2 linked regions of the Daphnia pulex genome follow. The protein of the gene in region 2 purifies or fractionates together with the protein of the main gene of each other region. This does not show direct contact. Links are inferred from orthologs where the notes say so. Each region holds a gene or a part of one and is shown on either strand. Other genes may lie near its edges.

Region 1 (4,907 bases), on a different chromosome or scaffold from region 2:
CTCACATCGGCTGTGCAGCTATTGGATACTACGACGATTACAACGGATATCCTTTCACGCCCGGACAACCTTACAAACAGTTTTACGTCTGCAATTACAGTTCTCGGGGGAATGCCCCGAATAAACCGGTCTACAAAGTGGATTACGCATCCTCTTCCCATTGTCCAAATTATCCTGAATAAACCTGGCAATTGATTACGCAGAATATTTTCTTATCTGTAGTATTTGAATTATTGTCGTGAAAAGAACAAGATAAGCGTAACTAGAATCAATTTGTATTAATGATTACACGTTTGCTTCGATGAAGCCATCAGACGGACAACTTGTCGAAAGACAACGTCGAATTTATTATACCATCAAAGCGACTGTATAAACATAAATCTACATATAGAAATCTGATGATTTCTAGTTGCCAATTTAACCTTTTGAAAAACAACCAACTTGTTTCATTTACATATCAAGTTTTGGTTTTCGTCACCCAAGGGAATAGGGGATTTTTTCCTTTGATAAATGGGTCGCAGAATTTTCTTTTTTAAGTGAAACAATGCCTTCAGGTGTTACCTTTTACAAACTTGGCGGTATAAAACAAACACCTGGCTAAATTTTTCGGCCACTTTGACTAAAACCAAAATCGCGACATGGTGTCCCAGACTCTGTTATTCGGAGCTCTGCTTTTGTCGTTTTTGGTAAGCCTCTTGTTTTACGAAATAATTAATGAATTCTTAATCATTCGTTGAACAATTACTACATACGAGGTTGCAGATCGGCTGGAAGTAGTACAAGCCAGGCCCCCAATTAACTTTGCGGAAGAAGGAAGAAAAATTGACAAATATCACGTTTTGGGACTTCGCGGCAATTTTCACCGAAGGATTATATATATCAACAACATAGTACGTAATAAATATAATGGCAAATTGATTTGCACACATTTTTTGTCGTCTCTTTCTAATGCTTTGAACGATTACTTCCCATTTTTAGCTTTCAGACAAAGACTTGCCTAGAAAAACAACCAAATTAGCTGGCAAATTGGTAAAGAACAGTGTTCAGTTGGTTTTGTTGAGCTATTTAGATTACTTTACTGGCGGAATAACACCTACACTACGGAAGACGGTGACAGCGAAACACGGTTAATCAAAAATGTATAATTGTTTTGTTATTTACATTTAAAGTAACAACCCTGCTAAAATACTATGTCAACCATGAAACTGTTCATCTACAAAAGAATGAAAATTTACAAAAATCGAGGTATATTTTTTCCATGTGAAAAGTAACACAAGTCTCTTTCTCTCCCGTTTGGGAATCCCGTTACAAAAATGAAAATCTCTCTAAGTCTATGTCTCACTCAATGTACACTGAATTCACTTAACGTTTGTCCTGAAAATGCACGTGTCTCTGATCCAACAAATTTTACTTTATAACATTCTGAATTCCACATTTTCTAAAATTTTCATTTGGAAAAAGTCAGTAGATGCTAAATGGTTTGTGTAAAACAATCATAATCGAATATATGCATAAAAAATCTAAAAAAAAATTTGATTACGTTTGCGTTGAAGTAGTAATCGACACCAAAGATGTGTTTCAGACAGCCACTAGGCTAGCTAATGAGCTTTTGTCAAGAAATCATTGCTCCTTTTTATGCCTTTGAAAGTTGGAGCTAAAATCAGCATTGCCATGTTTGATAATTTTTTTAAGATTCGAGGAAAGTAGTAAATAAGTCGATAAGTGTTTTAAAATTTCATATAATTTAATTTAATAAAATTTAATGTTGATGTATAATATTACAAATGCTTTAAAAAAGAATGTAAAGCGAACAATCAATTCAAAACCGTTTCCATGGATACCACCGGCGTTGAACGGGAAGGATAGGAAACTCAACGCACTGTAAAAAGCAAATCATGGCGGTAATATATACACGTGTTATAATTCTTTATTTTGGATAAAATGGCTAATTTTTCCGTTTCCCTTGTGTGCTTTTTTTATTTCTGGACCATATCGTTTCATTTTTTAGGCGATCCCATCAGTTAAAGTAGCAGAAGTGCGAGAATTCTCTCGAATTGAACGAATCGGTACTCACTCTCACATTCGAGGTCTTGGACTTGATGATGCTTTGGAACCAAGAGAAGTACTTTTGAATAATTTGAATAAAAGAATCGTACAAGTTACATATCAAAATGATTGTTAGGTGTCCCAAGGCATGGTTGGCCAGTTGACAGCACGACGAGCTGCTGGTGTGGTACTGGAAATGATTAGAGAAGGAAAAATTGCGGGGAGAGCAGTATTGATTGCTGGACAGCCAGGAACAGGTTAACATTGTCTTTGAATCTGCAATAAACATCCCATTATTTGGTTTATAACACTTTGGTTTACTTTTTAGGCAAAACTGCAATTGCCATGGGTATGGCACAGGCTCTCGGGGACAACACACCTTTCACATCCATGGCCGGATCGGAAATCTACAGCCTTGAAATGAGCAAAACTGAAGCTCTAACTCAAGCATTTCGAAAATCTATTGGAGTTCGAATCAAGTAGATGTGAACTCAAAATTTGTTCAACCTAGAAATCTTGTAACCTTATTTTTCATTTGTTTTCAACAGAGAAGAAACTGAGATCATTGAGGGTGAGGTTGTTGAAGTTCAAATTGATAGACCTGCTACCGGAACTGGTGCTAAAGTTGGAAAGCTGACATTAAAGACAACAGACATGGAAACTGTGTACGATTTGGGCAACAAAATGATTGAATCCCTCATCAAGGAAAAGGTGTGTAATTTGTTTGACAAAAGTGTTTCAATTTTGTATACATATCTTTGTGTGGTTCAGGCCCAAGCTGGAGACGTCATTACCATCGACAAAGCCACTGGCAAGATCTCGAAACTCGGACGATCGTTCACTAGGGCTAGGGATTACGACGCAACTGGACCGCAAACCAGATTTGTTCAGTGTCCCGAAGGTATATTATTTAAATTCCAGTTTTGGTCAAGTGGTTTACGACGACGACGACGACATCGTACGATATTCTTACACCACTCCTATTCTATTTACGTAGGCGAATTACAAAAGCGGAAAGAAGTGACTCACACAGTCACCTTGCACGAGATTGACGTAATCAATAGCAGAACTCAGGGTTTTCTCGCCCTCTTCTCTGGTGAGCTCACATACATTTTTAATTTCCCGACCTTGAAAGTTTACAAAATTAAATCTCTTGTTTTGCATTCAATAGGGGATACTGGTGAAATCAAATCCGAAGTCCGGGACCAGATCAATAGCAAAGTCGCCGAATGGCGCGAAGAGGGCAAAGCGGAAATCGTCCCGGGAGTTTTATTTATTGATGAAGTTTGTGATTAAATCTTCATACCATTCTCCTTCCTGCATATATTTATTCGTACCGTCATGTCTCGACGTAGGTGCACATGCTAGACATGGAATGTTTTTCATTTTTGAATCGTGCTCTGGAAGATGATATGGCGCCAGTGTTGATTATGGCCACTAATCGTGGAATTACTAAAATTCGCGGAACCAAATATCGGAGTCCCCACGGCATCCCAATTGATTTGCTTGATCGGATGGTGATCATTGCCACGCAGCCGTACGTGGAAAAGGAAATGAAGCAAATTCTGAAAATCCGGTAAAATTATCATTTCAATTATTTGATGCGTTGGCTTTGCCTTAATTGATATTTTCTTTGCACAGGTGCGAAGAGGAAGACGCCGAGATGACGGAAGATGCTCTACTCGTTTTGACGAGGCTTTCCTTGGAAACTAGCTTACGCTATGCCATTCAGCTCATCACGGTTGCTAATCTCATAGCTCGCAAACGAAAGGCCATGGAGGTTGGTATTCAGACTGTATTCAGACAGCACGTTATTAATCATTTGCTTTATGCTCTTATCTAAATAGATTGCCGTAGAAGATATTAAAAAGGCGTACACGCTATTCCTGGATGAAACCCGTTCCACCCAGTATCTGAAGGACATTCAAGATGAATTCATGTTTAACGAAGAGGACGAACCAAGTAAGTACCTGAATCATTACGTCTGAGATTTTCTTTTGTGTATTCATTGAAAAATAACATTTTTACAGAATCTGACGTCGCCATGGAGACATCATAACTTAACTCAAAATTCCATTTTGAATGAAAAAGCTTTTTTTTTCCACATTTGTATCGTCTATCAAATAATCCCGTCAAAATAAAAAAGACGCCAAAAAAACAAACAACTACACTCACACGTACTGTTTAAACTGTTTTTCTTCCCGCCTCGTAATAATTGTGTACACCCGAAAAGAAGACAAAAAATACAAAAACACTTTCGGTCAAGCTGCTAGTTTCGGTTGATAGGTGGCTCTGAATGTCCTAAACTCGTCGCTTATTTGCGTCCGTTTGTTACGACTTTTGTGTAAGTAATTTTTACCACGAAAAAGAAGGGGAGGGTAGAAAAAGAAGTTACCACCATGTATAACCCGCCAACACCCGAGCCCTCGAGAGGTGCACCAATCAGAGACGCATCACCTGGTGAGGTAAAGGCGTCGCTCCCGAACCCTCAGTCGTCCGTGAGTGCACCCGCAATAATTTCGTGTCAAATCCGTCGCAAGTCAAGCCAGCGAAAAGGGAAATCAGCACACACACAGCAGCAGAAGAGGAGGCGAAAAAAGACTTTTTCGGCAACGCCGCCCACACTATTCGGTTCGTGAGAGAGCCCTGGCTCACTGCAGAGCGAGGCCTTGACCTACATTTTCAGTCGTGCAGCAGTCCCGCACACACACGCCACCGTATTCGCGAGCTGTGTGTGTGTGCACACAGCCAACACCAAAACAATTTATTTTGAAAATTATCAAAAAATTCCGTATACACCCCGACGAAAAACTGTGCCTATTTCCATCGTTCAGTGTGTGTCCCGCGTGAAAAACAAAAAC
Region 2 (4,276 bases):
CCTGTCTTGATTATTCGACTAAAAAAACCACAGGTAAAAATCACCAAGCAGTCATCAACCCTAACATCATGGTCCGCACCCATGAAAATCCTTGGATTGAACATTGGGAAATTAAAAAAAAACGGGGTAACATGTCTTTTTTTATAAATGTGGTTGGCATTAAAGCTTTTTGTTTCAAGAACAATTTTCACTTTCACTTTGCGCTGCTTTTTTTTCCTTCATAAATTATTTAGCTATCTCATCCTGGAGTTACACAGGTATAGACTTATTTATCTCAAGCCTTAATATTAAAATTAATTAATTTTTTTTAATAGACCCAGAGGCTTGGCAACATTCATTTCCAACATGTGGCAGTAACCTTCAATCGCCAATCAACATTGAGACGGCCTCTTTGAGAGCCTACCCGAAATTTTACTTTGGAAATTACGGAAACATCGACCGGATGACTGTTACCAATAATGGACACACAGGTAAGAGGATACACGAATAAAATTATTATTGTTGTTTTATGTTTTTATATATTGTGGCTTGCGCAGTGTTGTTTAGCCTTCCCTCGAGCATTCCGGCAGAGTCTATACCCTTTATTACCGGCGGCGGATTATCAAATCGATACAATTTCGTTCAATTTCACTTTCACTGGGGAAATGATTCATCGCACGGCAGCGAGCATCGAATCAAATCTAAAAAGTGCACATTTAATTTAATTTTTTAAATTATTGTGGAAATTATGATTATTTTTAAATTATTTTTAAAGATATTCGGCTGAACTTCACTTGGTTCACTATAATACCAAATACGGATCGTTCTCCGAAGCGACGAAATATGATGACGGTCTAGCCGTTTTGGGTGTTCTCATTAAGGTTTGTTAATTTAGCTAATCTTCTTAATATTATTCGAGTTATTCTAAAACAAATGTCAAAGGTAGGGAAAAAGATTAATTCAGCATTCCGAGCTGTCGTTGATCAGTTGAATGAAGTTGACGAAGACGGTGACGAAACGACACTGGTAAATCTGATTTCATTTAAAGATTTATTACCGTCTCGAACCACCACATTCTTCCGCTATTCCGGTTCTTTTACAACGCCCGGATGTGAGGAAATTATTATCTGGACTGTTTTTGATGATTCCATCACTATCTCCGAGAGCCAGGTAGAGATTCCTTCATGTTTAAAGTATTTTTGTTTTAATACTATTATCCAAAAAAAAAAATTACAGCTATCGAAATTTAGACTTTTAAAAGGAAGAGATAGTTTAACTTTGGTAAATAATTACCGGCCCGTTCAGTCGTTGAGCGGACGCACCGTCACATATAGATCTCGTTCCGGATGTCATATTACGATAAACTGGTCTCATTCTTCCTCACCTATCGTCGACATCTATCAATATAGCACATGCGTATTTTCTTTTTATGCAAATTCTTTCCTAACCATTTTAGGTGTAAATTTATAACAGTGACGCATTATTTCATTTTTCTAAACTGCATAAATATTAATGAAGCTAAATAAATCGAAAATCTACTTGATTCATTGATTGTCGACCCGAAATTCTAAACTGCATAAATATTAATGAAGCTAAATAAATCGAAAATCTACTTGATTCATTGATTGTCGACCCGAAATGAACGAATTAAATAAAACTGGGACAACTTCACTAAATTGCGCATTTGCTCATTTGTTATTATTGTTTTTCGTTTTTCGACGCAGCGTTTGAAAGGTTTTTTTCTTATTTTACTCCAAAACTAATAATGTATGTTTTGATTTAGTAAAAAGTTATTGTAACAGCTTAATATTGATACAAAATGCATTTCCTTCTCTCCCACTAGCATCAACAATGGCTGCAAAGCACATTTTTGTGTTGGATAATGGAGGATTCAACATCAAAGCCGGTTTTGCAAATAATGCAGAACCCCGGTAAATATAACAAAGATTCATAATGTTTTCGTTTAGTATAAACCATATCCACCCTCAATAGTGTCATGCCAAATGCAGTAATGAAAGCAAAAAGTGAAAGAAGGAGGCCTTTCATCGGTGACCAGCTTGATGAATGTCGGGATGTTTCTGGTCTCTACTATATACTCCCTGTTCAAAAAGTATGCAACTTAATTACTTCACAATTTATAAAAATGAATTTACTATATCTTTTTAATTTAGGGCTATCTAATTAATTGGGACACTCAGAAAGATGTTTGGGATTACTTGATGGGAAAAGACTGCTTTAATGTTCACATCAATTCAACTTCACTTGTTTTGACTCAGCCATATCTAAATTTCCAGTCTATTCAGGAAGGAATATGTGAATATTGGTTTGAAGAAGTGGAGTGTGAATCTCTCCTGACAATTAACCGTGAGTTTTTGTCTCTGGTTAATTAATTTAATCTTTTCCTCATGGAATTTTAATGTTATTACAGCTGGAACTTTGAGTGCCTACAAATATGGAAAAGAGAACCCTTCTGAATTGTGCTGCTTGGTGGTAGACTGTGGTTACAGTTTCACACACTTAATCCCTTATGTACAAGGAAAGAAAATCACAGAATTTGTTCATAGGATTGAAATTGGCGGCAAGGTATTAACCAATCATCTGAAAGACATAATTTCCTATAGGTAACCTTCACACACAAGTTATAAATAAATAACAAGTTTTTAAAATAGTATGTTTTAATTGCCATTTACAGGCAATTGAACGTCATGGATGAAACGTACGTTATCAACCAGTTGAAAGAAGACACTTGCATTGTATCCACAGATTTTAATAGCGATATGGCGTTGTCTCAAAAGAGAGGAAAAGACAATCCGTTCGTTGTAGACTACATCCTTCCTGATTTTACAACCATTCGTAGAGGCTATGTGCGACCAAAGGACGAAGCAGGGTCCGGCGAACAGGTCTGAAATTTTTTGCTGATGCCAGACGTTTTTGTTCAAATGTTATAATACATTACACTTTTCGTCTTGCTAGGTTATCAGGATGAATAACGAACGTTTCGCTGTCCCAGAACTGTTGTTTCATCCATCTGACATTGGAATCCAGCAAATGGGAATATCCGAAGCCATTGTTCACGTGATTGAACAATTTCCTTCCGAAGTTCAAAGCCATTTGTACAAAAATATTTTGCTGATCGGCGGATCTTGTTCTTTGCTCAACTTCAAAGAAAGGGTTGAAAAAGATGTTAGGACGATGGCTCCGGCCGAGTGCGAAGTCCGTATCAACATGGCATCCAAGTAAAATACAATATTTTACCATTCATTTATTTGAATCGACATTAACCATCACCCAATATCTCATCTTTCAACTCCTTATAGTCCAGTCACAGATGCCTGGCGAGGAGGATGTAGCTTAACTAAAGATCCTCAATTTTCTTCTCAGTTGGTAACACGTCGAGAATATGAAGAACATGGATTTTCTTTATGTCTTCAACGTTTTGATGTATGAGTTTTTCAACAATAAAATGTATTTCTTTTTTTTCATCTTTTTTCGTCTTTTTTTCATGTTTATTTTATTTTTTTCAATTATTTTATTTTTTTTAAAGTTTTTGGTTTTTATTATTTAACTGTTGCAAAATATTACCACTAGGTTTGAAAAAGATGCCTCAGGCTCTTTCAACCCGGCTGACATTGCACAAATCAGTGTGAAAAACAGCTGAGTGGAAGAATGTGCTGGTGAAACTGCGTCACGGTATTTATTGAGACGTTTTATCTCAAAAGAGTGTTGCTATCGTGAGAGAATAAAATAGCGGTTGCTTGTAATCAAGTGTCTACTGCGGTTTTGAAAAATTCACAAAACATATATCCCACTCTACTTGAAAACGTTCCAGTGCTGGCAGCCTGGCACGTGTTGATTCTCGTCGAGTGAGCAGCTAGCCGGTAGGGAATATCTCGATAACAAGCAAACACATTTTTGGTAAGTTGAGAATCACGACTTTTTAGTAGTTCTTGTTTATACATGTCTTTTAGAATATTGAGAAAGTGTTTTTCGACAATTGTGTGGGATTTATTTCTGTTATGGGAAACATGTTGCTGGAAGCATGCTGAACTAGGTAGTAAATATTATTATTTGAACAAGTGTAAATCTAAGCCTAGGTTGAATGGGGTTCCACAAAAGCAGTAGTTATAAGTTGTCAACGCCTTAGCTTTTTGTTCGTTTCCTCGACGTATTTGATACATCAGCCACAGTCCATAAGGTTCATGTTTCTCCATTTTTTCCCAGAGTATTAAACCAGCTGCCGACCAACGGTTGACAAAAGGCATCATAAATTGTGTGTAACGGTTCCTTGGAAAAAGTA

Evidence for each region. The genes of interacting proteins can lie anywhere in the genome.
Region 1: the proteins of actin-related protein 6-like (region 2) and ruvB-like 2 purify together in Homo sapiens (co-immunoprecipitation; 7 studies listed by BioGRID and IntAct, counting the BioPlex papers as one, with this or other methods). This does not show direct contact. The link is inferred for Daphnia pulex from reciprocal best matches to the Homo sapiens genes ACTR6 and RUVBL2.

What each region holds. Positions count from the first base shown.
Region 1 is NC_060021.1:8,103,381-8,108,287, reverse strand, and holds ruvB-like 2, read left to right. Parts: upstream 1-1,799; 5' UTR 1,800-1,895; coding exon 1,896-1,901; intron 1,902-2,008; coding exon 2,009-2,122; exon of another isoform or gene 2,123-2,182; coding exon 2,183-2,303; exon of another isoform or gene 2,304-2,322; intron 2,323-2,374; coding exon 2,375-2,525; exon of another isoform or gene 2,526-2,564; intron 2,565-2,594; coding exon 2,595-2,757; intron 2,758-2,817; coding exon 2,818-2,947; intron 2,948-3,043; coding exon 3,044-3,142; intron 3,143-3,217; coding exon 3,218-3,330; intron 3,331-3,401; coding exon 3,402-3,622; intron 3,623-3,687; coding exon 3,688-3,826; intron 3,827-3,893; coding exon 3,894-4,008; intron 4,009-4,076; coding exon 4,077-4,105; 3' UTR 4,106-4,311; downstream 4,312-4,907. Other genes in the region: uncharacterized protein LOC124194162, read left to right, coding at 639-686, 756-890, 979-1,131. UniProt on the Homo sapiens protein: Possesses single-stranded DNA-stimulated ATPase and ATP-dependent DNA helicase (5' to 3') activity; hexamerization is thought to be critical for ATP hydrolysis and adjacent subunits in the ring-like structure contribute to the ATPase activity.
Region 2 is NC_060023.1:9,662,961-9,667,236, reverse strand, and holds actin-related protein 6-like, read left to right. Parts: upstream 1-1,654; 5' UTR 1,655-1,713; exon of another isoform or gene 1,714-1,746; intron 1,747-1,822; 5' UTR 1,823-1,830; coding exon 1,831-1,910; intron 1,911-1,971; coding exon 1,972-2,089; intron 2,090-2,150; coding exon 2,151-2,343; intron 2,344-2,407; coding exon 2,408-2,600; intron 2,601-2,671; coding exon 2,672-2,879; intron 2,880-2,952; coding exon 2,953-3,215; intron 3,216-3,296; coding exon 3,297-3,426; 3' UTR 3,427-3,458; downstream 3,459-4,276. Other genes in the region: carbonic anhydrase 2-like, read left to right, coding at 34-126, 234-257, 315-470, 537-687, 755-860, 922-1,149, 1,216-1,449. UniProt on the Homo sapiens protein: Required for formation and/or maintenance of proper nucleolar structure and function. Plays a dual role in the regulation of ribosomal DNA (rDNA) transcription.